Linked DNA regions of Oreochromis niloticus. The protein of the gene in region 2 purifies or fractionates together with the protein of the main gene of each other region. This does not show direct contact. Links are inferred from orthologs where the notes say so. Each region holds a gene or a part of one and is shown on either strand. Other genes may lie near its edges. The genes, in order: rho guanine nucleotide exchange factor 26 and lin7c.

What was found.
Region 1: the proteins of lin7c (region 2) and rho guanine nucleotide exchange factor 26 purify together in Homo sapiens (affinity purification with mass spectrometry; 3 studies listed by BioGRID and IntAct, counting the BioPlex papers as one, with this or other methods). This does not show direct contact. The link is inferred for Oreochromis niloticus from reciprocal best matches to the Homo sapiens genes LIN7C and ARHGEF26.

Annotation. Positions count from the first base shown.
Region 1 is NC_031979.2:24,504,671-24,520,398, reverse strand, and holds the start of rho guanine nucleotide exchange factor 26, read right to left. Parts: upstream 6,649-15,728; 5' UTR 6,420-6,648; intron 5,987-6,419; 5' UTR 5,914-5,986; coding exon 4,468-5,913; intron 3,644-4,467; coding exon 3,592-3,643; intron 3,499-3,591; coding exon 3,356-3,498; intron 1,449-3,355; coding exon 1,392-1,448; intron 1,184-1,391; coding exon 1,023-1,183; intron 1-1,022. UniProt on the Homo sapiens protein: Activates RhoG GTPase by promoting the exchange of GDP by GTP. Required for the formation of membrane ruffles during macropinocytosis. Required for the formation of cup-like structures during trans-endothelial migration of leukocytes.
Region 2 is NC_031965.2:17,983,129-17,998,602, forward strand, and holds the start of lin7c (protein lin-7 homolog C), read right to left. Parts: upstream 7,840-15,474; 5' UTR 7,663-7,839; coding exon 7,626-7,662; intron 6,701-7,625; coding exon 6,582-6,700; intron 5,661-6,581; coding exon 5,589-5,660; intron 5,440-5,588; coding exon 5,230-5,439; intron 4,016-5,229; coding exon 3,848-4,015; 3' UTR 1-3,847. Other genes in the region: neurotrophic factor BDNF precursor form, read right to left, coding at 10,930-11,760. UniProt on the Homo sapiens protein: Plays a role in establishing and maintaining the asymmetric distribution of channels and receptors at the plasma membrane of polarized cells.

The DNA.
Region 1 (15,728 bases), on a different chromosome or scaffold from region 2:
TTCTTCTCCATGTCTGCTTTTCGTCAATCAGCATGTGACTTCACTTACACTCGCATCCAGAAAAGAGCTCAGCGCAGCGTAAACACAAAACCTTTGACAATGAAAACAACCCTTACTCTAGGGAGGAGAGTAGCTGAAAGCCTGTATTAGCATACACTGGATAGTTAAGTATGCCAAATTATCCAGCTAATTAGGCAAAACCAAAGTGATGAAAGACACCTGAAGCCTAAAAAGTAAACAACCAACCAATTAAACCAGCGATGCCAAACTCATTTTAAATCGTGGGCCACATGCAGCCTACTTTGATCTTAAGGGAGCCGGACCAGTGAAACTCCCCTTTCTATAAATGTAAAAACATTTAACAACACACTGAAAATCTCTCAGATACTTAACGTAGGAAAAGCAAGTGCAATTGCATGGATAAGTCTCAGTTTTTTCAACATGATAAAGAAATGCTGCTATACTAAATGAAAGAAATCTGTCAGCAAGAATAAATAAATCTGTAAAATTACAGAGAAAGTTCTGATAGCTCACCTGTAATCACAAAACTGAAGATTTGTGTGAATTCATAAAAAAAAAAAAAAATGTCCTTTTGTTTGTTATTTATTTCTTTTACTGTGGACCAATAGTAGAAAAATATACATATTCTATAGTAGGTAGAAGTGAAAAAACAGGAACTTTTATGTTATTTAATTGTTTATCTATTAATAAATTACTTTAGTGTGGTATAAATTACTATGGGGGGGGGGGGGGGGGGGGTCTCTTTATCAGTATGACAAGCTTTAAAACTTATGGAAATACAATTTAAAGTCTAAAATCTATGTCCTCCTTCACTTTTCCAAAGCCATCCAGTGGGCCAGACTGAAGTCTTTCCCAGGCCGATTCTGGCCCCTGCGTCTTATGTTTGACACTCCTGCTCTAAACCAACAAATTCTTTTAACCAACAGCATGAGTACCAAATATGAAGACGAATAAAGGTGCTCATCTGATAACAAATCTACTTACACAACAGCTACACTCACTTTTTGCTAGCCTCACAGACATCAGTGATATTGGAGAACAGGTGATGGTGCTCAGTCTTGGTCATGGTCTCCCTGAGCTCTGGAGAATCCTTGAACATGCGGATCAGGATCTCTAGACTGTGGAGATAGGAGTGCTCCGACGAGATCACCTCAAAAATGGCCTAAGGAGGAGCAAGAGACACATCAACCGAGAGGAAACATCAAAGTAAGATATTTGGGATTCAGTTATCCCACTAGGTCCTGGTAATGATGACTCTGGGTTTCAATCATATGAAGTAGGCGTTTAAAGTAATTACACATCTAACTACTTAAAGTATGAATCAGAAAAAATAACTTAAAATAAGCTAGAAAGTATAGAACGACTCCTACCTCTTGTCTTTTGCGTTCTTCTTGACTTATCTGCTCACACAGGCCACTTTTCTTAACCTAAACGAACAGTAAGTCAGAAAAATTTTTTGCATCGTTTTTGAAATTCACACTCGATGAACTACATGCAATCACAGCACAGGTGTGGGCTGTTGCCTTTTTTCATATCTAAGGAGCACAAAGAAAGGCACTCTTTGCAAGAAACACTACAGGAGTATAGAAATTTGTTGGATCCAAACACTAAGATTAAACAGGGACCACTTCTGCTCATTTTGAAAGTGGAATTGGGCTGAAAGGAAACTGCATTGGCATGTGGCTGGAGAGCTTTGATCGAAAGATGTTTGAATGAGACTGAAACAAAGCAACCTTTTGAAATGGACTGGGTGTGGAGTGCTATTGAATTAATCAGCCTGTGGCTTTGTCAAACTAAATACAAGGCTGAGTAATAAACACCTTCTTGCGTTACACCAGATTTAATCAACATGACCAGAGGCTCAACCACATTATACTTTACCGATACATGTAAGCAACAAGAAATCCCGAAGATAGTTTCCCTTACTTGCACTAGCTCCTCAACCCATTTTTGTGCAAAGCAATAAGGAAGAGATACTCCTGCAGGAGTATCTGCCCTGCAGCTCTCTCCAAACACTGAGAACAAATAAACCTGAAGCAGGTCAAACACACACTATTTGATTTCTCTCACACATACGGCCATCAGTGTTACTAGATACTGCTCCTATTTTCCTGGCAGCCCGTTTTTCCATTGCCCTGTACGAGCAAAGAGGTTTCAACCAATTGACCATCATCCTTCTCTGGTTGAAACTGAGCATAATTAATCAAGTGTAATTATTAAATGGCAACTATTAATTCCTTTTTTTACTTTATTGACTTGATTAGGTTGCCTTCAGGTAATTTAGAAACCACGGAACAAGATCGCTCCAAAACAGCCGCACCTTCTGAAAGCGTGAATGGTAATTCTTGGAACCAAGACAATTCTGGGATGTGACATTTCATCAAAAAGATGAGAGACTGATAATAGAAGGGTGGAGCTGAGAGTTAGGATTAAGCAAGAGTCACAAGATGACATCTTGTACATTTGGTTCTCGGCTCCACTGGAAAAAAAAAATTCCTGTCACACCAGGACAATCACCAATCACACGAGTATTCCTGAATCTGTAGGGTAAAGAAAATTCTTCAGAACTAGATCACAGGCTGAAGGCTCTAACACATTCACAAAGACGAACAGCTGTAAAGCAGCTGTGATAGAAAGAAAGCTTACTTTGGCAGAATCCCGGTCAGTCTGTGCTCAGTTCACTTTAGTGTCTGGCTGACATAAATATAAACAAAACAAAAAGTCTCTCTACAATGTTTTCAGCCTTCAATCCAATCTCCTACTTATTAGAGACCATGTGCAGACAGTACAATCCTCAATACCTCAATCTCGGCTACGGCCTGCTTTTGCTCACACACTTTCCATCCTCTACCAGTAAACAAACAGATGGGGATGCATTAGTAGAAAACTAAATTAGCCAATTCCCCTTCCCTTATATTCCTCTGCCCCTCAACTCCAATCCTTAACTACATTATGTAATGCAAAGCCACCACAACTCTCCCCGGAGGCAACATTTTAGGCATATTTGCAGTCTGACGAGCGTACAGCGTTTGCCAACACATTGGCATTAATCCCAGCAGTGCTTCCGAGACTTCCTGTGGGCCTGTCTGACTCCCAGCCTGCACAAACCCTTGACAAACTGCTCGTGTACTCCCTGATAAACAGAGTGAGGGGCAAAGGAAAGCAGAACGCAGTGGGAGGATGGGTACAGATGGTGGCCAAACTGGATATGACAGCATTCTTTGGAGCACTAGCATTCCAAAACTACACAACCACACTCCAAGATGCAGAAAGAGTTTAAAATATAAGAGGAAGAACAAAGACTACTACTGTGTCTGTGTGTGTTATGTCTTACCACACTAAGCTGGCTCCAGGAGGTACGTATGGGCCTGTACTGCACTACAATGTTGTTATCAGGTTTGGGTTCCCTGGAATCGGGATCCTCATCTGAGTCATTATGTAATGCATTCTCCTTGTAGTTCTGGTAAAGCTCTTCCTCTGCAAAATCACAGATGTAAAAGTGTAGGGGTTTCTTTATTCTGATCCTTTATAGCAAAAATATAACACAGAAACACAAACAGAATTTCTCACCCTCGCTGTCAAAAGTCAGCTGACTGGTCAAAACCTTCTTCTTATCTGGACTCTGAAACAGAAAAAAAACAGCATAATGGGTTTAATGAACTCTGAAAAACCAAGTAGAGACACATGCAAACCATTAAAGAAAGAAACTTGTTTCACCTGTTCACTACCTGTTCGTACCCTTTTTCAAGTTGCCTCCTTCAGTGACCCCTGGCTAATTACAGAGCCTCTGTGTATTTAAGTGTATGTGTGGGGACAGTGTCATATTGCGTCATGTCTTCCAGCAACCACATTGTTTCTTTATAAGGCCTTGTTCTAACTTCTGCAGCTGTTGCCACCAAACTTGTTCCACTGTACTTTTACTGGTTGTGTTGTAATTTTCCAATTTGAGCTTCACCCCCCCCCCCAGATAACAAAAGTCCACCATGAAGCAATCTCTGTGCACAATTAAATATAAAACCATCAGAGGGATTGTTGCCGAGTTGAGAAATCTTAATGTGCTACAGAACAGGGGGGAAAAGTAATGCCAAAAGTTGACAGAGTATTCACTGATTGCAGATTTCGACAACTATCATTTGCTAAAAGCTTGCTTTTCTAAAATTGATCATTTATGGCACTTCTCTACAGCTTGTTCTCTAAAGTCACCTGAATATACTAAAATACACAATAATTCATTCTATTAATTATATTATATATAAAGCTTGTTGTTTTTTCAACTGTCTTCTGAAAAAACACAATTAAAATTAATATTTAGATATTAAGACTTTGATTTGAATATTTAAATTTCTCCTACTCCCCTATATGTGAATGACAAATGTGTTAAATTTGTGTGATTTCTTAACACGTACAATTTGACCCCACTCTGTTCTTTCAAACTGATTTACTCACCTTGTTTTTCCCATTGCTTTTAGTCTTTTCTGTTCCAAGGCTAGACTTTGAATTCTTGGTGCTGACATCTTTGGGTGTCATGGGGCTGTCAGGCTTGTTGGTTCCAACACTTGGCAGACTTATAGAGCCAGGACTTGTTGGGCTAACTAGTGAATCTGATTTATCCATGCCTAGCCCTCTGATGACAGGGTGGGACAGCCGATGGCCCTTGGGATCTGCTGCTGATACCTCTGAGTCTACTCCACTCACAACTGCTCTCCTGTAGGATGTAGTCCTCAAGCCTCTTCTAAGAGCCCCTGGGCTCTCACTTTCACCATCTTCCCCCTCATTGTGGCCTCCTGTAGAAAAGTAGCTTCCAGTTTCCACCATGCTCAGGGCTTTCAAGGAACGCTTGGAATGATCCAACCCCAGCAGCCCTGCCGATCCTTGAGCTTGTGTCCCAGGGGAAGGTGCCTTGCATTGCCGAATATCGGATGCTAAGCCCTTGGGAATAAGCTGCTGGGTACCCATCTTGAGAGCAGCGGGGCTATGGGTGCTTAGGACAATGCCGTTAGAGGGACAGATGGGTGGGGAGAGTGACGGTGAGGGTGATGTGGAAGACATGGAAGAAGATGAAGAGGTATGCCTGGTGTCCTGTGGGGATATAGGTGAGGATGCCTGGGACTGCCTGAGTAGTGCCTGCCCTCTGTCTTCTGGCGATGGAGATCGAGGGGTTGGGGGGTCTGAGGAGGTTAAGGAGTTGAGGGAGGGGATGCTGGAGGTGGAGCTGTAGGAGGGGGTGAGCATGCGATGGGTTGGAGGAGATGAGCTGCATGTGGATGAAAGGGAGGACAGTTCAGGTTGGTTGTAGTTGTTGTTAGGAGTGTCTGGTGAAAAGACAGGTGAGGAACCATTAAGAGGAGTATTTTCTGTTGAAGGTGAATTCTTCTGAAACGCAATCTGGCCCTTCTGAGAACTCTGACTTAACAGACTGGACATGCATGTCTGTGAATCCCAGAGATGCTTTTCAGGCCATATCATCTCCCCATTACTCGCTTTCACCCCGTCAGAGTTCCTATTATATACCCTATTGTCCAGTGAAGCGGATTTGTTATCCTCAGACCTAAATTTGGACAACAAGCGTCCATTGGAGAGGTGGCTGATGCTGATGCTTCGAACCACTCTGTTTTTCTTTGAGGGTTTATGTAAAACATGCTTTAACACCGCTGTGTTATTGTCAACACACTGGGGTGTGACCACAAGTCTCTCAGCAGGCTGGCTCAAGGTGAAGGAACATTTGTTGTCCTCCTCAGTGAAGTTTGTCTTCATGACCCCATTTATGTGGCAACTGTGGGGCCGTGGTTTAGGACTGCTTAAGTCCTGGGGCCTTTTACTGTTATCAGTGCGGCGTTTCCACAAAGGCATGATATTATTATTGGACAAATCTACATCATTGCCGTAATCCATGGTTGAAATGCGAGTGTCTCTTCTTCCCTATCTGTGTCCAAACCTGTGGCTCGGTGTCGGGAGAAAAAAAACCCTGAAAACAAACAAGAGAGAGATACCAATCAATATCAAAGAACTCAGTGTGGTGTCCGAATTCCCAGACTTTAATCATTAACAGGGATTTAGTGCTGATACTGGCAGCTAAACTTAAAGAACACACATAAGCAAGCCAGTGAGGAGAGAAACAGCCCTTTTGTAAATGTTCACCGAGGTGGAATGCCCCAATTACAAGACAATGTTGCAATTAAACTACTATAAAAGAGCAAAAATGTTAAGCAGCAACAGCGCCTTTACAGACCACATTTGTTTTTATCTTCTCAGAATCTGAATTCACAATTTTCTGATTTTTTAACTCTGTTTTTCTGTCTGCAAAAATGCGTATAGCTATAAAGAGGCGCGTAACTGGGAGCTTTTCAGCGAGATTATAAAAGATTTTTTTCCCACAGGTTATAGTGTCTCCAACTTACCTTTAATCAGTCGATCCAATGCAGAATCCGTTCATCCTCCCTGCCTTCTCGAGTGGCAGCCCTCTTTAGCGAAACGGATAAAATTAACGTGCTTTCAGCGCTGAATCAACAAATAAAGGTTTGTGAAACCAGAGTTACGAAAGTTACTGACCGATAAGAAACTCGCGTGCGGGGGTACTGAACGCGTCTGAAGCGCTTCTGTGCGCGCTGGGGAGTTTCTATGACTGAGAGGAGGGGAAGGGAGGGGAGCTAACCAGAACAGAGTAAGAAAAAAATATGGCACTCCCAAGTTCACAGAAATTCACCTGCTAGAGTAACGATTCATACTACGGATCAGCAGAGACTTCCACGAAAGACAAACAGTGCGGTTTGATCGTAAACGTGAAAACATTCTGAAAGTAAAGTAACAGGAAACACTTTATGTGAATCGAATAATAAAGCGTTGTTAGATTTTAAAGGTTTTTATTCGGCAAGATCAATTTGAAAAAGTGGAGCAAACACGTTTGACAGCAGTATTTTCCTCTCTATCGCTCTCTCTTTTTAAAGGAATCTACTTTGTTGTTTGTTTGTTGTTGTTTGTTGTTTGTTGTTATGTTTGGAACGCCTGCTTTTTGGAAATGAAGAGTCTAACTTCATCAACAAATGAAGAGTTTTGACGCTTTTTAAGCTTAAGAATACATTCGGGGCCAGTCAAAAGATGCTGTTGCGTGACGTGAAAGGGAACAAAAAGAAATCTAAATACCTAAAGCTTTATTAACTCTACAGAGTGAAGTGCGGAATGTGGCCACAGAAAGCATATAAACAACATTTACCTGTTGCTGCTGTGCGCCATCGTGTGTTCTGTGATGCAACTGCATCAGGCCTTCCCAGCCGTGATGATCTGTGATAAACAGTCAATGAAAATTATTTGTACAGCACTGATGAGTGCAAAGGTAGTTCTCTAAGCTGTTGGAGACAGCTGGAGGAAAATATCGGGAAAATATAACCCCCCCCCCCTTTTATAAAACCACCGGTGTTTACCCCCAAATATTTCCTGGACTGTGTCGAGTAATTTCTTGCTCCATAATAAACCCATGACTACGTTTCAAGCTTCTTCTAGCAGTGGAATTCATAGAATGTCCCCGCCGTTTTGTTGTTTTGCAATGGCATTTGCTAAGGCTTCTAAAAATACCGAGTAAATAAAGCCCCCTGAAGGATTTATAGTTTTTCATTCCCACTCAAATAAAATGTGTTTTGCAATCCGTGGTTGTGGTTAATTCATGCATCGCCGCTTTCTGCGTTGCGCAATACTGTCAGTGGAATAAGTTTTCTCTTTTTTTCTATTATTATACAAACGCATTAAACAAAATGCTCCCCTTTAACTTCAAAAACATGACTCACAGTTTAACCGCTCACGAAATCTTCTAAGCACATGCCAAATTTTATGTGCTTAGTGATTAGGGCGTAATGTGTGGCGCATTCAGCTCGCCAGTACTTAATGTATTTGACCAACAAGGGGCGCGATTGTCGCGCTTACTGCTCATCACTGCTCTTAAAACTGAAGTGTACTCTGAGGAGACTTCAGAAGGTCGACCATCATTCCACACACTGGGAAACCTATTAAGTGTAAACCGAGTTCAAGTTATTTATAGCCTGCACTGATCACATGCTACACTCTGTATGCTTGCAGTCCGCCAAAACACGTGTCTACACTTTCTCCATAACCTGTGAATCATCCGTAAGAGTGGGCCTGCTGCTGTTTGACTGAGGTGGTGTTGAAATAATAACATGCTCAGGATTAAAAGTGTCCCCTACACAATAATACACAAAAAGAAAAAAATGGTTCCTGCAGAACTTTGCAAAGCTTGCTCCTGCAGCCAGTTGTCAGTATTGTTGTGTACTGCTGTGTTTTAAACACATATAGTGCTGTGCAAAATTCTTGAGCTAGCCCTCATTTCTTTATTTTTTACCAGATTGTCTTCTAATTTTTTTTTAACATGATCTTAAATAGTTTCATGATACCTTTACAGGCTTTCTCAGAATCTTTCGAAACTTTTCTTTAGACACCAGTGTCTTTTTCAGTCATTTTCAGAGAAATCTATTTATTATTATTATTATCATTTATTATTTTACTTCTTTTTTTTTGTCAAGCCACTTAACTGCTCTATGAATCTTTCAGGTTTAACCCCCCCCCCCCCCCCCCCCAGCGCAGGGGCGTTCTGTCTACACATAATAGACAACTTAGCAAAGAACCAATTTCTCTTTAGGCACTTTCTTACTAGCAACCTTTCACAAAAACATATCACTTGTTGCCACATCTTTAGTTGAATCTCTGAAGAATGCCAAAGATAGCAGAGTTTGACCGTATTGAAATAGTACTTTTGCACCACCAAGTTGGTTCCCAAACTGTTATTTTCTAAAAACTTGCCATATCATGGCATGATGTATACTGTGCCCTTAAAAAATTGAGGAAGCTGGACAAGTGGAGAACAAAAGAAGTGGCAAGCATAACAAAAAAAAAAAAAAAAAAAACTTATGACAGACCAACCAAACTGATAAACAACATCTGAAAGTCATGTCCTCAATAAATAGGAAAAAATTCAGCAAAGGCCTGACATAGGACCTGAGAGATGCATCTGGAGCTTCAGTTGATTCGCCTACTCTTTTCACCAAACCCTCATCAGAAATGATCTGAGTGGAAAGGTGGCTTTTTGGAGTCCTTAAGGAAGGAAAAGAGGGAGAAAAGGCTGAGGTATGCCAAATACACACAAACTGATCTTATGCAGTCATGAATCCAAATATAAAATGACTGATAAATACTGTATCACTGTCAACAAGTATAGAGGAGGTCGGAGGAGATGTGAGTGTCTGCAGTGATCTGAGAAACACAGTGGAGGTGCTGTCATGGTTTAGGGCTGCAGCCAGTCGTGTTGACGATCTTGTCAAAACTGACGCAATCATGAATACAGAACAGTGCCGACATATTTTGACACAACATCTGGAAACATCTGATTGACAACAGCTTCATTTTTCAGTGTGACAATGATCCCAAACATGCTGTCAATGTAGCATCAGCATACTTGGATAGAAAACACTCAGTGGGACACCATCAGTCATGGATTGGCCTCCCTGGAGCTTTACATTATTGAAGCAGTGTGGGACCATCTTGACAGAGGACAGAACAAAAAGCAGCCCACATCTAAAGAAGAGCTTTGAATGTCCTTGAAAAAGCCTGGAGAAATATTCCCGAAGACTACCTAAAGATATTAGAAGAAAGCTGCCCAAGAGAGTTAAGGCTGTGCTGAATAATAGAGATGGTCATACCAAATATTGACTTTTATGCTGGTTAGAACTGTGCAAACTCTTATACACTGTATTCCCACGAATGTTTGCACATGTCAACAAACCGTTGCATCGCTTTCTTATTTTCCTAGCAGAAGACTTTTGTGCAATACTGCAGAGGAGACTAAATCTTTAACCTTGAGTAAGTCACAGGTCAGATAGTTGAATCACTGTCATCTCTGCTGTATTTACAAATTTCAAAAAGTGTGTATAATAGTCGTGGTATTCTTTCTTGCTGTTAGTCACTTGTTTATGCAAAATTGCGAAATTACCTACATTAATCCAGAACCATGTTAATGTTACCACAAGAAACATCACCAGCACAGTGTTTATTAAGTAAATTCAAAGTAAAATCTGCATCATCGTGAGTGTATTTTATGTTTCCATGACTGGATTTGTCATAGAGGCCCCATGTGGGTCTTCCTCATCATGTTATATTGAGGAAGTGCAGCAGCCTATCCTGTTGTATTGTTTAAAGAGCTATATATTTCCTCACACTGTCTGGTTAAAAAAAAAAAATAGCCACTTCACCATCAGAGACACTCTCCTCCAACTGGAAGATCCAAATACAACCCCCCTGTGGCATGGGATGTAAAAAAAAAAATCCCAAATAGCCTTTTTATAAACGGAGAACTAGTAAAAATCAGTAGAGTATAAGGAGTTGGTGATAAATTCTTAAGGGAGGTGTAAAAAACAGAAACATTTTAGGGGTAAGCTATGTCTGGCTGATCTTAGATGCCAAGTTTTTCTTTGTAAATGTTGTGATTGATAAGGCAAGAGCATTATCTCAGTCTTTCTGTGTGGGCTTGTGCTTGTCTGAGCAGAGCATGCTTCAAAACGATTTGGAGCAGCAGAGGTACAACAAGCAGAACTAAGGTTAAAGTGGTGCGAGTGAAAATGACAACTCTGACAGAGAGCATTAAAGTCATGCTACTGAAAGGCAACTGTTTCTAGAAAAGCAGCTGGAATTACTGTGGAAAGGAAGAAAAGGAGCGTTTCTTTCGGTCTTTGCACCCCACCAATAAATACTTAAGACCTGAAGACGTTTCTGATTAATTTAAATCAGCGAAGAATTTAAATGTCATCTTGAAACAGACAGGTTGTGTTGATTTAAGCGTCAAGGTGAGATGTGTTCACACGCAGGGTTTTGTAGGAGTGTTTTCAAAATCTAAATCATGGCTCAAATATATATATGTTTGAGGAATGTCGAGGTCTTAAAGTACAAGTGCCACTAACCTCCAGGGTTCCTGTCCCTGTTCCCTTAATATGGCTCACAAATGTCTTTTTGGCCTTGCTCTGTATGTATTTATGAAGTCTTCTCTAGAAATGAGTAATACCTGCAGCAGCTTGCTAAACTAGCTCCATTGTTGCTACACTGTACTGTTTATCATTGCCTCAATGTTGGTTTCTTCTCTAAATCAGGAAAATGCTAGCACAAAATATTATTTCTAGTATATGTACACTTCTTATTATTTCTGCAAAAAAGCAGCAGATTTTTCATCCAGATCCTCATTTAAGGCAAAGAATATCTATCCATAACTGTAAATTAAAAAAAAAAACAAGATTAAAAGAAAAACTCGCATATAAATGCTTTAATAGGCTTATAGACTAAATTTAGTGTAAATTACAGAAATAAAAGAGTATCTTGTTATACCAAGTGCCAAGGATTATTGCCTTAGCCTTCATTCTTTTGTATTTAAGCCGCTTAACCTGCAGGGTTTAACTATTCGCCAGTGCAATGTGCATTTGCATAAAACTGTGTCAGACTCTGCTAGGGAGAGATCTCTGCAGCACTTTGCTGTGTCAAGTGTTAAGTTTTGAAATCACATTTTAAAGCTACATGGGGAAATCAGCTCTCTCATTTTCAGCAAAAGCAACCTTAGGGCTTTTTCTTCAATACAAGACCCAATAGTGTCTCAATTTAAGCGGGGAGGAGGTTTCTCATGTCAAGACTTTTAATAATTTCAGGACAAACAAACCCAAAATGCATTTTTTGCTATTCTCTTTAGGTTTCTGCTTTGAAGAACTGAATTACAACTGCAGGCGATGCTTTGAAACAGGTTTCTCTGCACAATCACGCACGTCTCCGTCAGTGGTTTTTGATAAGAGCTTCTTTTGTATTAACAACAAGTTCCAGTTGTTCAAAACAAGATATGTGCATTATGCAGATAGGGACATGTTTTCAAAGACACACTGTTGTTTAATTTCAGAGATCTTTTTCCAAGTCTGTGAGCACCACAGATGCAATCTCATTCATCTGTAGCGTGACAGGAATGAAGTAGAACTCACAAAGCGTGGTATCTCTCAAACAACCAACTGTTAAACTATTTGAATGATGATTAATTTACCGTGGGTATGAAGCACATAATAAGGATTAAAAACAGAGTTTCCTGGGTGAGGAATGTAAGGGTCAGATAATTTCCCATTGTGATCACTGTGTGGTTAATGATAATCAAAACATGAGGAAGTAGGACAGACGAGTAATTAAAGTAAACTGTGAAGAGTAACACCCTATATTTAATTTCCCATTATGTGTAAAACACGTCCATGTCTTTGTGAGGAAGCTTTGAGTCCTTACAAACTCCAGATAGGCCAGTAGGCCAGTAGATTCAAACCCACCGCTAACAGCATTAAGGTTAACACAAGATTCTTAATTGAACATAGGTGTGAATAGGAGTGTGAATGGTCGTCTGGGTGTCTGTGTCAGCCCTGTGATAGACAGGCGATCTGTCCAGGATGTACCCTGGCTTTTGCTCAGTCACATCAGGGATATGCTCCAACTTTACCTTGACCCTAAATTGAATAACCAGTTAAGGAAATGGATTTTGATACATTTTGAAAGTTTTCTAGGAAAAAAATTCACACTGTTGTGTCATTTGATAGATTTTATGTTTTCCCTCAGTAGCAGCACTTCCTCCCCCTTTTTTCTGTTTATCCTATTGTACATGCTTGAATTCCTCCAAGCCAGATATGAACATTAAAGATGTAAGTCACAGAGATGAACTGTGCACAGCGTTCCTGCGCTTTTCAGTCTTCTGGCATTTTGAAAAAGCCCTCCACAAGCTGACCTTTCCTGAGCATACCTCTCTTTTCCTCACTCCTGTTTTTCCTCTGACTCACAGCCTATTGTAGTTTTCCTACTGAGCAGTGCTGTTTGCTGGCTGTCCTTGCTTCCCCTCCCCTCATCCTTCACGGCCACCCACACGTCTCCTCAGCCATCCTCCTCGCAGAACAATACAGAGAAGAGGTAACGACTGTAATTGCCACAGCGATAAATTACAAAGGCTGACAAAGTGTGTAACCAGCAGGAGCTGGAGAAAAAAAAAGACAGATATTTAGATATATTGATAGATGCTTTGATGGCATAAGCCATATGTTACAAAACTAGTACAGCAGTTCACTATTTGTCCCATGACTGAACCCACTTCAGCTCATAACTCTGTCTCCTTTTAATACACATCCTCATCCACAGTCTACGATGCCAAATGCTTACTATGTACATTGGTACATATGGAACCAACCCAGGGGGTATTTGCCACATATACACATATTTGAACCCAAGCTAATCACCATGGTTACAGGCCTTTTGGCTTGTGCTGATTGGCCTAGATTACTGCGATGACCCGTGATTGACTCCCCCCTGTGGGTTTCCATTGGCTGTTTGCCCCAGGATGATGACGTCATCTTGTTTGGCAAGTTGCATTGAGACATGCACTACTGGGCATGGAGGGAGAACGCAAAATTAGCTCAAAGCTGGAGGTGACAGCTGCAAAATGTTCAGACTAGTGTCCTAAGAGGAGACGTGTCAGACCCAAAGGTGTGTGATTCTCACAGAGCTGGTGTATGATAGCTTTTCACTTGGATCAGCCTTCCTGGTAGATCAGCGGGATGGCTCAGGAGTATAGAACTGCCCAGACATCTGAAATAATGTCAGCTATAATCAGTTGAAGGCATTTAAATTGACTGAGAGAAACAAGAGCTAGTGAGATAGTAGAGAGAGAAAATTACATTTAGATGGACTGAATTTCCAGTTTATTCAAAAGGTGTCCTTATCCTGTTTTGGTTGAGCTATTTCTCTAGTCTTAAAGTCTGTTAGAATAGATTCCTTCATACTGACAATAAACTGGCATATAAATATTCATCAATTATAAAACAGTTTTGAACATCTTGCATTGTTCAGGCCATCTGGTCTTATATGATTGCTGTATTTTTGAGACAAACATGCATTTGTTATGCTCAGCTGTCTGTTCTGCAGCTTCTCTGGTATTTTAGTAGATCTAAGTGCACATTAACTGTTCTCATTTCTGTCATTTCTGTGTTTGTAATCAATGAGAGATCCGGTATTTGTTTTAAAGCTCTGAAACACCAAAGACATTTTGTTTGCCTTTCAGTCACAAGTTCTATAAGTCCCATTGGTGCTTATTATGCCACCACAGATTGTGAAGTGAGGAAGATTTTAAGAGTCACATATCAAAGGGACTCTTTGGACTCCAACCTGCTCGGATCCCCAACCTTTCCAATTACTTCTCTAGTATGTCTAGTGTTATCTGATGCTATCTAAAGCTACACCCTTATATGATTCAGCTGATCTAAAACCCATTGAAAGAAAAATCGAGAAATGCTGTTGTGTTTTTTTCTAGTTGTGTTGATTTCATTCTTTAAAGAGATGATAAGCTTACAGTTAAGCTTGATTCTGTAAATAGAAAAATAAACCCAGGGTTTTGAACATAACTGCGTTCTAGAGATACTTCAGAAATGGATCATATGACATAAAACTTTATTTTAAAATAATCATATAGGCTAAAATGTAGGCTCCAAATCTGACCTGCTTCCCTTTGCTGCGCGTCTTCCTCTGCTCTCTCTCCCCCTCTTTTCTGTCTCTTTACTGCTAAACTGTCAAATTTCAACAGCAAAAAAAACCCCACAAATAAAAATAATAATAATCATACAAAATCTATACTCAGCTGTGTCAGAATGAAAACAAATGTGATTTAAGTGAATTTTAAGGTTATCGGTGCCAGATGGGCTGATCTGAATATTTCAGAAACTGTGGATCTACTGGGATTTTCCAACACAACCATCTCTGAGGCTACAATTTTTATAATGGGCTCACCAAAATTAGTCAACAGAAGACTGGAAAAGAAATCTTGAGTCTTGATTTTGATTATATTGAGATGGTAGGGTCACATTTTGATATAAACAGCATGAAAACATGGATCCATCCTGCAACAGTGCATGCTGCTGCTGGTGGTGGTGGTGGTGTGATGGTGTTGGGGATATTTTTCTGGGCCCCTTTGGGCACCTTCGTATTAATTAAGCAACATTTGAACATCAAAGCCTTCTTGAGTATTATTGCTGATTGTCCATTACCTCATGACCATAGTGTAGCCAGTGTACTAGCAAGGTGTACTTAACAAAGTGGCCAGCAAATATATAATCTGTGTGTTTTAAGCATCCTTTATTCACTGTTATGCGTAAACATTTTTAAATGGTATTTACACCATTTATTGCCCATTCAGTCCATTCAGATTCTCCATTCACTGAAAACAATAACACATAATAGTGTTTTGTTTTTTGTATTTATTTATCGATTGATTGATTAGTGCATTCAGAGCAGTGTTTGGAACATAATTGGGTTGTGAATAGACTTCTTTTACAGAAGATGGTGCTTTTTTTCTGCTTACTCGATTTTAAACAAAGAGTCAAAGTACTAAATGTTTTTAAGATCAGAAATGAAGTTCTCCTGTCATACATGTAGACTCTTTGCTCTCGATGATATGGCCTAGAGATGCTGCTTTTCAACATCACTTCCATGCTCCACACTATCCAATTCACCTCATTTAAAATGTAATCATCACTACTTTTGTCCAGTGATCCAATTTCCCTGCTCTACAAGTCAGTCTGTATCTACTACCTATTCTTTCTATTCATCGCGAGCTGTCACTCTGCCTTTCAGGCAACTGACATCTCTCCACTTCATCTGGGTTG
Region 2 (15,474 bases):
GTATCCAACAAAACCACACTATATTGTAGTTGTAAGGACACGTGAGAACATTTCTAATGTTTTTAAATATTTTTATAATACTGCCCGTCACAATTTTAGAATACATCACGTTGATGACAACTTTTAGTTTACAACTACATTATAGCCTGTTAACTACTGCTTATGGATGCTTAATAGAGAGCCATCTCCCAAAGTTTTGCCACTTGCCTTCTTTGACTCCTTCATGGTAATCAGTATGTTACAGCAAAAAAACCAAAAAAAACCCCAAAATTTGTAAACATCTCATAGGATCATCCAACTACATGCAACTCTTCTCAAAATCCTGCTGAATGTCATATTTCATTAGACATTCGTCCACACAGCCTTACTGTCGTAAGTTTAATAACATTCTGGAGGAAAATGACAACTATTTTGCACCAATAAAGGTTTTTTTTAAAGACCTTGCATAGATAATTGATTTGCATTCCATATTTGCAGCGTGTTTAACTTGAGACTTTGACCTTCAATTCAGCTTACTTCATAAAGAGAAATGGATTACAGGGGATTCACCCACCAAATATACCTGTACTCGTCATGTGTCGTCATTTCTTGTGATATTTAAAGCATTATTTAAGTACCATACAATCAGATGAGAGTCGACGACCCCCTTCACTGACTTACAAAAACCTGCTAATCAAAGCAACAGCTGAGCGAGTTGATGTGAGGGAAATGTGCAGAGACATTCAAATCATCAACACTAGCACGCCACTTTCAACTAATAAAAGGTACCGCTTTTTAACCAGTGATTCATTTCAGTGGATTTAATCTACAGTAATCATTTCACGAGTCTTTTCCCACTTAAAGGATCGATTACCAAAAGCCCACGAGCCGGATTTTAGATTTTATCCTCCCAAAAACAGTACTGATGGACCTCTGAACATCCCATTTACGATTTGTTAGTAACTTGAGGAACATCAGAGTACGTCAGGAGACGGTGGATAAAGTAATAAAAGAAACAGATGGAAATACAAACAGCTGTGGAGCAGCTAACCAGGCAAACGGAAACTCAAAGTGACTTCAAGAACCGGACAGCACACATGCATCGTGCCCGCACACGCCAAGCAGCAGCATGCTCATAAGACTACCTCTCGACTAAAACGGTTCGCTTCTGAAGAACAGTTTGGCATCGGATGGTTAATCTACACTGATAGGAATTACTACCTTTACATTACTACCTTCCTGTCTCAATAATGCCAGGTGTTGATCCTGAGACTGGACAATAGTATGGCTTAGTCAGCAAAAGCCTGGTTTCCATAATTCTGTACACACATTATTAGAACTACCCTGCAAACAAAAAACCTCTAGGAATAAATCTTTGAAGTTAAATCTGTCCTGTAGATATTTTGCCAAAAAAGGTGGATGATTAGACATCTACTGAGTTGATGTTTTAATGAAACAATACATTTTATTTTTAAGAGAAAACCAAGACTTGTGGACTTGTTTGACTGAGATGTAGGCCTATAGATATAAATGAATGAAGATTTCCCTATGATGACTATCAACACAGTAGCTAAACATGCAGCCACTTCATAACTATAAAATGTGGAACATGATTAAGTGTACATGTAATTGTGGCAGCCTACACATTAAAATATACTGTAGACAATTAAGACTTTTTTGTGATTTGCCTGCTTAACAATTCACATCAGAACAAACTTGATTGTTTGGCAGTATTTGGTAATAAAGTGTTTATCATTCTCATTTTTATGATATGCATTTTGTATATTATATATGAGTACATTTGTGCCCAACCCACCTAAAAAAGAAAAAAGAAAAAGAAAAAACTTATTTGCGCAAAGATGAATGGAAAATAAACTGGTAATGACATGCAGGCAAGACCAAGTTTGAAATTATTGCTGTAAATTATTGAAATATGGGCTTTACTAACATTTTATTAACATTTTACAAGCATCAAAAAATGATTTTTTTTAAAGTAGCTGTCGATAGATCTTACCCAAGCACCTGTATTGTCTTTTGTCCTTTAACATGAATGCGATATGAGAATACAAAAAGTCATCAAACATTTGCTTTTTTTCATCCCTTGCTAGATATTAAGTTACAAAATGTAAGAAAAAAAACTGATGAAAGATTACAAACACAAATACAGTATGTGTACTAACATTTCATTCATTGAACAAGTGATCAAAACTCACATGCTGCATTAATGTGACTGAAGTTTTGGTCAAACGGGCTTAGAGGCTGGTTGGCAACCCCTTGGTTGTCCTCTGGTTGCTAGGGGGAAAAGTGTATTCCTCGACTAGTTGGTGAGTGCTTGCAAGCAGCGGGAAATGAGCTCCGAAGAGGGCGCTGCACCAAAAACCTCAGACACTCGCCAATTACTCGCTGAGCGATAGTGAAACTTGAGGGAGTGCAAGTTTGGAGAACTTTCCCCTTCAAAGTAAAAGTTGTTTCTTACTATTGCTGTCAACATGGTTTAAAAAGCGCAAATGGATCAGCTTCTGGTTTGTGTCACAGTTTTTGAAATTTCACTCAGTGAACAGTTGGCGAGTATTTGGAGGTAAGTTGGTATTATCCATGCAAACTACAGCAATATGCTAACAACCAAACCTCTTTGTTAATCATTTCATGTAGTCGCTGGCAGCAACTACTTGCCAGCCGGTTGGGGAGCACACTTATTTTCCCTGGCAACCAGAGGTTTCCAGGGATTTGCTAACAAGCCTCTTAGCCTTGGTGAATGAGGCTGTAGCAGTCGATTTCACAGATAGCCAGCAATCTCCAGCAAACACTCTCCAATCGGCTGGATAATACACATTTTTCCCTAATGATCGGTGGTTGCCAGGGGGTCACAGTTTGGTTTCTAGGCTTGCATGACCAGGGCCTTACAGAGACTGTAGGCATCTGACTAGCTGGATTTTACAAATGCCTAATTTTATCTTATTCTGATGGTCACTGGATAACTGATTTCTTATCAAGTTCTTTCACCGGCAGAGTAAAAATGTGACACAGTACATTCCTCATTTATGTCAAAACAAAATAACTGACTTTCATCTCATGTCATACTGACTCCAGAGTTTCGAGGGTTTATTTTTTTTGATAAATGTGCGAGTCTTTGTGGTGTCAGCTATTTAGTTCACGAGTTGCTGAGACCCCATTACATCACTTACTGGAGCTTTTTATAGCGTGGCATGATGTTAAAGTCTTACAGGGTAAGCCTAGAGAGAACGCTCAAACATAATCCAGCACTTTTGCTACTTTTTGTAGGGTAGCCATAATACCAATCTAACAACTTATCACTTTTTAACTAATTTAGACTGTCGTCAGCACCTCTAAAGCTACAGTCTCTGAGAAAACAGGTGAAAAGCATGAATTAATTCCTGCCACAACAGTTTAATTTCCAGAAATTTAAACGGTTAAAGAAAGAAGAGAAAGGAAAAAACAGTACATAAGATAAATGTGTTTGCCCTGAGGCACTTGGTAGTGGCTCTGATAAATCACTGAAAAACACTACCTTTTCAGTCAAAGCAGTTGTATAGTTTGTCTCAGAAGTTGCATTCAAATTGTCAATTCAAAAATAATGCACATGGTGTGACACACACTGACAATCGTGATCTTCCTAGTGTTCGTCTAGAGTTGTAGTGTCTAGTACAATACACGATGGTGAATATCAAAATGCTACAGAAAAGGGCAGAAGCGCAATATACAGTATGTATGAGCTAAAACTAAACAGGAGCGTGTTCTTTTTTTTGTTCTTTTTTCGGGGGCAGGGAAATGAGAAAGGGATCAGAACAGATGGCCAGAAGGCTAAAGGAGGAGAGACATGGGAGCTGGGCATCAACATGGGAAAATCCTACTTGGGAAAGTTGTTCTGTTGCCGGCGCTTCGCCGACCTCATTTTCTCAAAGCGTGACTCCATTTCCTCTAGGACTTTGGGGGTGTACCTTACTACCAGCTTCACTGTGCCCTGAGCTGCTTTGAGGAGTTCCACAGCTTTCTCGTGGTGCTCTCCTTCCACACTCTAAAGGCAAAAGAAACACAGAAATTGACTTTAAGATTTCACCAGGAACAGATAAAAGTCCATGATTTCTACAGATTAACCTACTGGGTCCAATTATTAAACACAAGAGCAACGAGGTATGTGGCCACTTTTTGAGTAAACAAAAGTTTTATATGTACTGAAGTGAATGTAGTTCCAAAATAAGCTCTAGCAGCTGTTCACATATAACAGCCTGCAATTTGGAAATTTTAATGAGGGAACAAGCTGAGCAATAAACAAAGTCAACTGGATGATTGCTATTGGCTGATCTTTGAGATTTACACTTCCAGACAATAGCATGGCACGTTTACATTCAGTGTTCCATCAGCACTCACTGTGTCCATCTTTAAGCCATAACAAACATGTTGAACACATTAACATTTCCAGAGCTTTACAAGAGGAACCTGACACATTCATTATTTACATCAATATACTATTACTACCATTATTATTACCATTATTATTATTATTATTTCTAAACATACAAAATTGACAGCTTCCTGTCACTGACATAAGGAAATGTTTTTCCATCGCACCAAGAAGACGCCAAAGACTCCACAGGGTTTCTGAGGTTTTTTTTCTGACAGCTGCTTCGTGCCAGCTCACTGGTAATATGGATTACTGAAGAAGGTTTAGCTGGTAAATGGCCATCATTGTCAGACTCTATGGCTAATAATCAACCAACATGATGATGTAAGTCTGAACATAAAAAAAAGCACAGGTGAGCACAGGCAGGGGATTTTATTGATTTTGTTTTTTGTTGATGCAAATTCCACTGATTGAATCCTGTCACTCCCTATGATGGACAAACTGTTGCCAACAACTCCAAGCTACAAGCTGATATCTTCTTATAGCACTCCCCTGTTTACTAGGCTTTAATAAGCTTCATTTTAAGGCACTACTAGAAGAGTTTGACGAGTGGGAGAGTTGTTGACCTGCCTTACAAGTTCTCATTAATAAATTATGGTGTAACAAGTTCAGAAACAAGGATTTTACAAGTAGATGGGTCCCCAGATTTTTGCACGGTTATTGCAGTTCCTTTTTTTTTTTAAATCCTGAAACAAAATCTAGCTGTGCATTAGTTTTTTTGAAGAATGTATTATTTCTAATATCTGCCTGTTTAAAAAAAAATCTGAAATAGAGAATTTGCTCAGGCTCAGTCTAAAATGTAAACCATGCTGTGAATTCAAACGCACCACTCCATTCACTGAGAGAAGCTGGTCCCCTCTTTTCAGGCCTCCATGTCGGTCAGCGATGCCTCCTGGGATGATCCGTGAGATGTAAATTGGTGAGTTTTGCTCCTTTCCGCCCATTATATTGAAACCCAACCCTTCTTCTGTCTTGGGCAGTTCCACAACTCGTGGATGTGAGTGTCCCTCACTTGCTGCAAAAGCTGCCACTGTAGCCTACAAATAGGAAAGTGGTGTTTAGATATCTCGTCTGTATGTACTGCAGTCAAAGCACAAAATTACCCATTTTAAGAAATTAAATGTCTGAAATTAAGATTACAAAAAGACCAAATCTTGTGTTCAGACAGTAACTGACAACTGTCTACCTTTGCTGTGGCATTGGCCCTGACCTCGGGGCTGCTGTTGATGTCCACTGTTTCATACACATGCTCATAGACCTGAGGAGACATTAGTGGACAATATTTCAACAGGCGAACACAAAGAATTCAAACCAAACCAAAGGGTTAACTTTCTATAACCATAACAGCTGTGGGCAGCCAGCATATTTCTACGACTGTCAAAAACACTTTTGTACACAGTATACTTTAACAATTTGAGTTAAGTCAACACTTAACAATAAATCAGGGGAAAAAAGAAATGGCTGTGCAATTTAAGTATTTTGCAATATTTTACATTTTATTTCACACTATGGCTGACGTACATCTGTAAATAGTGATGGTTGTCAGTCCACTATTTACAGCGTTCGATCACATCAATTTCGAGGAGGCTGCAAAGCTTTGTAAAAGGGGACTTATATGATGTGAAAATGTTTATCAAAGGGAAAATGTGATTTTTCAGACTCTCTAGCTTAACGTTATCTGGTATAACACTAGCTGTTGTTCTTATAGCCGTCTGGCTATCAGCTGTCCCAAAGCGGCAGGGCCACATACCCAATCTGCTGATGATAACTAAATGTGATATTATCGCGAACGAATAAGTATGTTTATGCACGTTTTATTATGTTAGAGTCTCGATTTCAGTTGAGGAGATGAGGCGTGAGGTGAGGAAAAAGAGAATGAGTTGGAGGTTAGGGAGCAGAGAGGAGGGGTGGATGTGCCAGATGAAGAAGAGGAGGACAAAGAGGTAATGGTAAAGAGATGTTGAAAACATAAATGTACAAATCTTAAATGGTCATATATAGCTAGAAAGCGCTATTAGTGACCTTAAAATTTAAACTAACTTTTAACCAGACTTCCACTCTCTTAATTTTGGAGCATTCTATTGGGAATTCTACTGGGATGCAGACGGTTAAGCTCCAAACTGTAAACTAATGTCTCTTAATTAAGTGTTTTGAATGATACAAGATGAAAGAGACTCACTTCTCTGACAGCATTACAGAATTCACTCTGTAGGACCCTCTGCAGTGCCTGCAGCTTCTGGGGAGGCACTTCCCCTGTCCTCTGGAGTTTATCAAGCAATTCAATAGCACGGTTGATATCTGTCAACAAGAACATGTACATAACCATTACTGAGGCCTGCAAATGTAGATGTTAACATTGGCAGTGAGAGTTACCCACATCAGCGTCAGAGCACAGTCGGCACCCATTTAAAGCTGCAGCCTTTTTTTTCTGTTACAATTTACATTTACTTGCACTATATTTGTTCTTATTATAGATATGCTCCGGACAAGCTTGTCTCCCACGGTCACCAGAACATACTACAATTAGTACAAATCGCTATAATGCAATAATAAAGCAACTCTCAGAGTAACACCCCTTTTATAAAGTAAATTTAACCACCCCTGACGGGATGAGGCAGCAGGCATCACGTTTTTGTTTTTTTTATTTTGTTTTTGCGAATGTACAGCTTACTTTAATAGCAATGAATTCATAAGCATTTGCAAGTTTATTAAATATTTCTAATCGTGAAGTTTTACGTGTGTACTTACTTGTGTAACCCGTAAGTTTAACCTAACACACAAATCTGGGCTTCCTCTGCACATTTCAGCAACACACACCCAGAACTTATGTTATTTACAGACAGGCCGCAAAAATTAATATAATGATACAACCAGCGTAACTGTAAAATCTTCTTTCTTTTATGGTAAGATACAGTGAACAAACCAGCCAGATTGGCTAATCACTGTCTGTTGTCATTAATATTAGCTAGGTGGCTAATGTGCTAAGTACAACAATGTAGCTGTAATAGCTGTGGCTTCTTTAGCTGGGTGACTATATATACATAATCATACAAGAATTAACCGCAAGATGTCTACTCTATCGTTATCCCACCATAAAACAGAGTACACAGACAAAAATAAGCCGCCTGCTTTAATGAGCTAATGCTAGCTAGGCTAGGTTTATGTCGCCCGCATATCACAACAAATATTTTTAAGCTAAAGCTAGCTAGCTAATTAACTTCACCTCTTTCCAATCGCACGGGCTCCCCAAGCGATGCCATTATTGAAATGAGAGGATGTTTGGCGTTAGGGAGATAGTTCGCTAAAAGGAAAAATACTGAAAACTAAGTTTGGTAATCCTGGCTGGCGTTATGTGCGCTTAACTGAGACGATAAATCAGATTAGCCAAGTTAGCCGGCTAGGCTAGCTGCCAGTGTCATGATGCGTTCAGGGAAACCTCGTAAAACTGTGAACTCGGAATGTTCAATCACATTTTAAAGTCACTGCGTTTGTATTTGTTACTTTATCCTTTTACTAGACGACTACTGGTGTAAAACTATGATATATCATACATACATAAGCCACATAGATTTACCAATATTCCACCTCGCTTTAGTGTACAAATGTCCTTTCTTTAATTCGTCCAAACGTACACCTTAGCAGCTTCAAATGTTGGATATTAGTAATGCCAGATTTAGTTTTAAGCACAGCGGTTTGATTTTATTATGTTTACTGCTGATGCTGACAATGAGAGTCGGGATATTTTTGTGCCATGCATATAGCCCACTGAAGGTCTCGTTGGCTAGAATCCAAACCCAGATTCCATATTACCATTTAACAACCCGAGGGGTGGAGAACTCCATTTAACATCTTCGCTCAGCCTCCACAGACATAGCTCAAAGGACGATTACATTAATATGTACTGCCACAACAAGGGCCAACCAGAAGAAGGTTTATTTGGCTTTTTGTTGACGTCTGATATGAGCGCTCTCTCTGCCACCCCCTACTGGTGAGCTGCATCACATTTTGAGCCTCCATGAATGCAGAAAACTGCAGCTGCACTGCTTCTCTGTATCCTGAAACTTTAGAGCATGATTCACTCCTGACCACACCCCAGTGGGTGATGAAACGCAAATCTTTTGACAGGTGATGAAAAATACCTAATGTGACATCACGAATGTGGGCGTGGCATAAAGTAGACACGCTTAAAGACTTGGTGAGCAGCAGCTTTTGTTCTTTTCTTAACACAGTAGGCCCATTGTTTTCCTAAAAGATTGTAGGATTCACTCATATGCCTGATTTATGGTCACACTGAAAAACACCACGGGCTTCACCCTGCCTCCCTTTATGCACTCTTTTATTAAATGTATGATTGGCAGATTATTTTTTTGAACTTTGTAAAAAATAGTAGCCTAAGGCTCATGCTCATGATAAACAAAACACATCCTTATCATCTTATCTAAAATGTTGAATGGCTGATTCATTGTCCTACGTGCTGAGGACGGGATAGTGCTTGAATTTTACCAAATCATTCCCATTTATACCTTCAGGTGGATTTTCCTTGAAGACCAGATCATTTATGATATTGTTCGTCTTCCCACTGTTTGTGTTGCAGAAGCCTCGGTATCTTTTTTGCTTTTAATGATATTAACTCACAGCATCATCATCAGGCTTCTGTGAAGGGTCCAAGCAGGGAAGTGAAGAAACTGGCCCATCTTTCCTTCACCGTCTTCAGATCTGGCTGTCTTTGCACTTACCTTCAGGCTGATGGAGGCGTGGTAAAATGAGGTGATTGTGTTCATTCATAAGGGATCGCTGGTGTTTTGAAGAAATTTTGTTTATGCATTTTTGTTGTTTTTAATCTTTCTGCAGTATGTTCTGGAAATGTTTTATGTAACGAAGATGAGACGCTGAACATATTTTATTGTATTCCCACTAAAACCTTAAGCTATGGAATCCAGACTTGGCAGGCATGCATTGCAATGAGTTATTATCTGCCCGAGGGAGAAAGTTGATATAAAGCCTCGGCAGTCTTTTAACCCAGGTGCCAAACCAGTTATGGAGATCGGCTTCTCCTTCTGATCACAGTGACTTTAGAGCTAAAAAAATCAGTGGTGATTGTCCTATTGTGGAGGAGTTAAAGCTGGGATTACAGCGCACTAATAACAAAACGCTGGGTGTACATTTTTAATGTACACAAATGTATGGGTGGTTGAATCCATCACTGTCAAGCTCAGGCAGTCTACCCACTTGTACTAGTCTGCACTTGAACGCGTAGGCCCTTTTCTTGTGTTAATAGGGTCTCGTAATTGTGCGACATCACACGTGCAGCTGGAGCAAAAGCTCTGAACACCTGTGTATGAACACCAAAGATCCAAAGCACATAAACTTGTGTTGAAAAAATGTGCTGGTGGGGAGCAGGAAGCGGTTTAGGGGCACTTCCTCTCTCTTTCTCCGTTTTCTTTTCCTTCCTGAAGTAGCTGAATGACACCAGGAGCTGCTTTCTGTACTCTAACACTGGTTATCTGTGAGTGACCCAAAGCAAGGACTCATTTTCTTATCTTAAAACATCACTTCTTGTTGCTCAGGATTTGAATTTCTGCTCTTTCATGCTTCGGACATGTGGCGGTTTGTGCGCATGCATGTGTGCATATGTGCCTCCTCCCTCCTTGCCTGCCGACTGTCCGTATAATAAAGTTTACCCTGCCTAAAAATGCACCGTTGAAACTTTATCGACATTGATTTTGTTTTTCAGTTGCCTATAGTCATTTTTATTTCTTCAAATATTTCAGTTTAATATTGCAAACAACTTCACAACATACAAAATGAATAATATTAACCCAGAAACATGTCAATGAATAAATTTTATATATATATATATATTTATATAATTTTTTATATATATATCTTGTCCTCTGGTGGGGATAAAAAAATAAACAGCAAAGCTTTGACAACAGCACCTTGACATAGTATGTAATTCCAACATTACCTTGAGAAGTTTAGAACAGTAAACAGATAAATTACTTGAGAGGAAATTGTTTTCTGCTGAATATGTAAACGGAATGTTTTTTTTATTATTTTTTTTGGTCAGCATCATATCCTTTTTTTTCTGTAAGTGGAGAATTTATCGATTCACAATTGAAGCAGCATGCAAGCTTTTGAAGATGGAACTGTCCTCGCTCTCTCTCTCTCTCTGTCTCCCTCTTTGTCTCTCTCTCCCTCATTTCTTGCCTGTTAATTTTTTTCCTTCCTTTTCTAATTCTTGGCAACCTAAACAAATCACAATGTCTTGAGGAATGTGACATAGTAATTTAAACTGGGCGCAAATGACTGATCAGATTTTTTTTAATTGTTTACAAGGTCATGAATATGTTCAATAAATAGACTGTAGTATCACTTTTACTGTATAAACTTCATCTTTTTTTACATGCAGTCCATAAAATTTTCATTTGACGGAATAATTTACCCTGTTATGTATATATACAAATAGATATTTTCTCTTTATTCTCTTTTTTAAACTCTTCAATAAAATCTATACATTTTATACACTATCTCCCTCTTTTAATGGTCAATGTGCATACACATGAAGTGTCTATCCTTATAAACCGCCAGCCAATCTTCTTTTTGCTATCCATGGTAAGCGCTCGCACGTAGGACTGGGTTGTCCTGCATTGGGAATTATAATGCCGCTTGTCTATTCCTCTGCAGCCCTCCTTTGTGTACCCCATGGGGTTGCATTTGGTCTCATAAAAGTATTGCTTCAGTTGGCCATTGGGGACAGGGACCTTTTCCATGACGGTAACTTGCTGCCCGGACATGTCTATTGCCGTCTTTTTATCCACAGCTGTCACCCACTGGCTAATACTGTCACACACACTGAGCTCTCCACGTCGTGAGGGATCGGAGTGTCGCCGCACCCTCATGGACATATTAGCGGCATCCAGATAGTTTTTGTATTCCTCCAGGAGAAAGAGCAACGGCGGCTCCAAAGGCACTTGGTTGCTGATCATCACCCGCGAGTTGTACAGATCGACATCCTTGGCCTCCGTGGTGACTACAGAGGATGGGCCACCACCTCCCTGGCTCTTATCGGCCCCCTGTCCCAGCTGCGCCGCCTCGCCCTCCACCTCCAGCAACTCCTCTATCACTTGCTCAAATGTGTCTGTGAGCGAGGGCAGTTCCCCGCGCTGGCCTGGCCCTCCACCGCTCTGGGGAGTCCCGTGGCCTCTTTCGGCCGTTGCAGCAGCGCCCAAGTAGCCTTCCGTCCGATGGCCCCGCATGCCCGGGGCATCTCTCAGGGGCGCAGCTCTCATGCAACTGAAGTATGAAATAACCATAGTAAGGAACAGGATGGTCATCACTCTTCTAACCTGGTGGAACTGGAGGGACGGGAGAGAGACACAGAAAGAAAACAAGAAGAGAGAGGAGGGTTGGGGGAGGGCGAGAGAACGAGATGGTCAGTCAAAGAGCATCTTCAACAAAGTTAGCTTATTTTTGATCCATAATGCACCACGTAAGCCTCTCCTCCTATTTCCACCCTCCACTCTTTGTTTGCGAGCCAAAAAACTGGAGCCAGTAGCTTCGGAATAATCACAACATGTTTTTATTAAACTGATATTGGCACTGTGTCATCGGTGTTTTCAAATTGTTTGCAAACTGTAATCATTCTGTTCCTATGTGAGGTCTGGCTTAGATCTCTATTTGTTGGCAGCAATGCACAAAAGCTGTGCTGAGCATCAGAGCGGCTGCTTATTACAAAAGATAAGATTACACAAATAGATGTCGAAACATCCTAACAGCTTTTTGACTGGTCTGTTAAAAAGGCACGGTGCCGTGTATATTTATAATGGCCACACCTGCCAATCATGGCTTTCTGTTGGAATAATTGGCTGTTTTTCTTTCTTTTTTTCCTTTTTTTTGGCTGTACTGAAAGCTCACAGCTGCCCCCCTGCTTTTGGGTAAGGAAATTGAGGATTTTCATTCTTAAACTTCATCCTGTAGTTGTTGAATTCTTGTGGATGGATTTATGCCCGCCCCCCCAACCCGCGTTACGAATACGCGACCGTGACGTTACCGTACAAACAAATCACCAGTATTAACACTTCGGGAACCTCCGGTGTGGACAGCACTTCCTAACAGAGTCAGTGTGTTTGTGTCAGCGCTGGCAAACACTGATGCTGCAGTATTACTTTATTAAAAAGAAAAAAAAAACTGGTCTGTGCTGTAGGACGGGTCAGGTACTACACCTTGTAGTCATGAATGGGAACTATGGGTTTGTTGAGGGACACTGTTTGTTTTCGGCAGGTGGAAGGCGAGAGCACTGCGGGATGAATTAACAGGAAACTGAATGACAGAATGATGTGATATCCTGCCGTGCAAAGCACTGCTATCGAGGCTCTGGAGAACAACTCAAAACATATGCAAAACCAAACTGAAACACTGTACATACATATTGTAAAATTACCTGAGCATGTGTGCGTCCCTTACCTCTGAGAAGCTCTAAGATTCACAGCAAATCAATGAATCCAAAGGACATAGATTTAAAAACACCCATAATTTTTTAAAAAAAGAAAAAAAAAATCTAGATCTTGCCTTCCACAGGGGCTCATTTAAAAATAGCCTGGCCGAGGCTTTGACTGCACTCTGCATGTCCGAGCCTGACACAGGAAAACACGGCGAGAGCGAGCCCCTGCTCCAGCCTCCACTCACAGAATGGACACAAGGACCTTTACAGTATAGGGAGGAGCGAAACCCCACCTTAAAAGCATTTGTTTCATTCTTAATTGGTATCTGGGGCTGTGGCTGCAATTAACCGACACCACGGTGACTGCCATAGAGATATCTCGTCTAAAAATAGACGTGCTGGGAGTCTCACAGTCTCTATTCAGAATATCACATCCTTCTTCTTAATGAGCCACTCATTCCCTGAGCTCAGTGACGTGCTCCTCCGGAGTGTGTGAGTGTGCGTGTTAGAGGGAGGGCATGGGGAGGGGCTGGCTTGTATGTGTTTTGCAGTGAGGTGGTGATGGTGGTGCTGGTGGTGGGGTGGGTATTTTTCCTCTCACCAACTACAACGAGGACAAAGCCAAGAATAAAGAGCTAATTGTCAACTCGGATATTGTTAACAAAATTCCATTTATGGCTCATTAACCCTTCGGTGTTGCGAAGGTTGTGGTTAAAATGATATCTGCGAGGCTTCCCAGCACTGAGAATCGTGTAGGTTTTTACGGGATCGAGGCCAGTCACGAGCTTTATGTGTAGGATGCATTTAGGCTGATATTATTATCAGCATCGTGCTCAAATGGTTCCACTTCCACATGAGGGAAATGAAGGCAGAGGGCTGATTACTGTTAGGCGTCAAACTTCATGCTGGAAATGGTGCAGACGAAGAGTGCTGCATCTTCCGTAACAGACCACAGGGGTAATATTGCAGTAGCAGGGGGTGGAGAGAGTGCCAGCGTCATTTCGCAGCATAACAACCACAGATGACGTCTCTTCCAGGTCTCCATAGGGGAGAGAATGGAGAGAAGGGGTGGGGTGGAGGAGAGGGGGGGAGAGGTTGCTGGGGGTAATGCCACTCAACAGTGTGCAATTGCAGAGCCATTCCCCCGTGTATCCTCACACCGGGAACAACAGATGATTTTATTTCTATCTCGCTGATTTCCTGTTTCCATCAGTACAATCAATATGGCTTATGCTCTCAATCAACATCCTGTTAAAATGCGATAAAGCCAATGAATCATTTAATTGCTGTGGGACCGGCGGAGGATCTCTGGCTTATATCTGTGAGAGGCTAAATGTGACAACATCCAGTGTCTGAAGATTTTATGCGGATTTCACAGTTAATAAAAAAGCGTCCCGAGCGTTAACAGAATGAGCAATGAATAATAAAGCAAGGGATGGATTACATATGGAAGAATAAGACTCCCCCCCCCCCCCTCCTTTGGAGCTTCTAGTTATCAGCTTTGTGGCAACTTGTGCTTGAGAAAGGTGCAGTTTCCTCTGAGCTGACTGTTTAAAGAATGCACAGCCATCTAAACATGACATGCTGAGAACTGAGCTAATAACATGAACAGGGGAAAATAAAGCCCACAATAACTGCTGCTCAAACATGCCTTTATTCATGACAGCACGCCTGGAGCGTGAAACACCCCGAACAATAGCAGCAGGTGAGTGTGCGGACTCTGTCTTCTGTTTAGCTCCAGATGACCACCTGTTCATCTGCTTTGAGAGCACGGCTGTATGGCAGGGATATGTAACTTACCCTCGCAGTTATTCTTTGTGCCAGGTGGGGATTAAAGTGATAAATGCCTCCTCTGACAGACGCTGAAAAGTTTCCCTACAGCATGAAAGGACTAGCGTGGCTAGTGTTATTACATACTACAGTAACGTTCCCAGCCTCCACGCACATGTCTGCACACTTTATGCACATCTTTACTAACGGCAGGCGTGATATCTTATAAGCCACCGCATGGGGAAAAAAAACACATCAAGAGAGGAGATCTGAAGTGCGGTTACCACATTTGAATGGAAATGTGCGACCCCATGGCAACATTTGTTCTCTGCCTCTGTCTCTGCTCCCTCGTGGGCATCCATCTTTGTTTAATTCCTCAAGAATACAGTTTACCTGGCAACATGTTTTATCACGCTCAATAAGTATAACACACAAAGCCAAATGTTCAGTTTGAGAGCAGGAAAAGTACAGCAAATATTATCAAAATGGCTACCCTAGGACCCCTTGTGCACTACATTGCAGCACTTAAAGAAAAAAAAAAAAACAGGCATTTAGACTTAATTGTGTTGTCTGCATTAATGGCTGACACATGTGGAAGCTTGCTTCCTGAGATCTGTTTTCAATCTGATGCAGCTTCAGAGCACGTTTTACTAATACATGAGCATCACTGAGGATTATACCTGGCCGCCAGGCCAACCCCAGCCACTGCCACAGAAAGCCCAGCATTCAAATACCTGCTGAGTGATTTATGCTACCCAAAAGAGCTGTTAACTCCCTCCCACACTGCGTGCAGCAGTGGGCACTTTAGAAGATACAACAGCAACATACAGCATGGTAAAATCCTTACTGATGTGCTTAG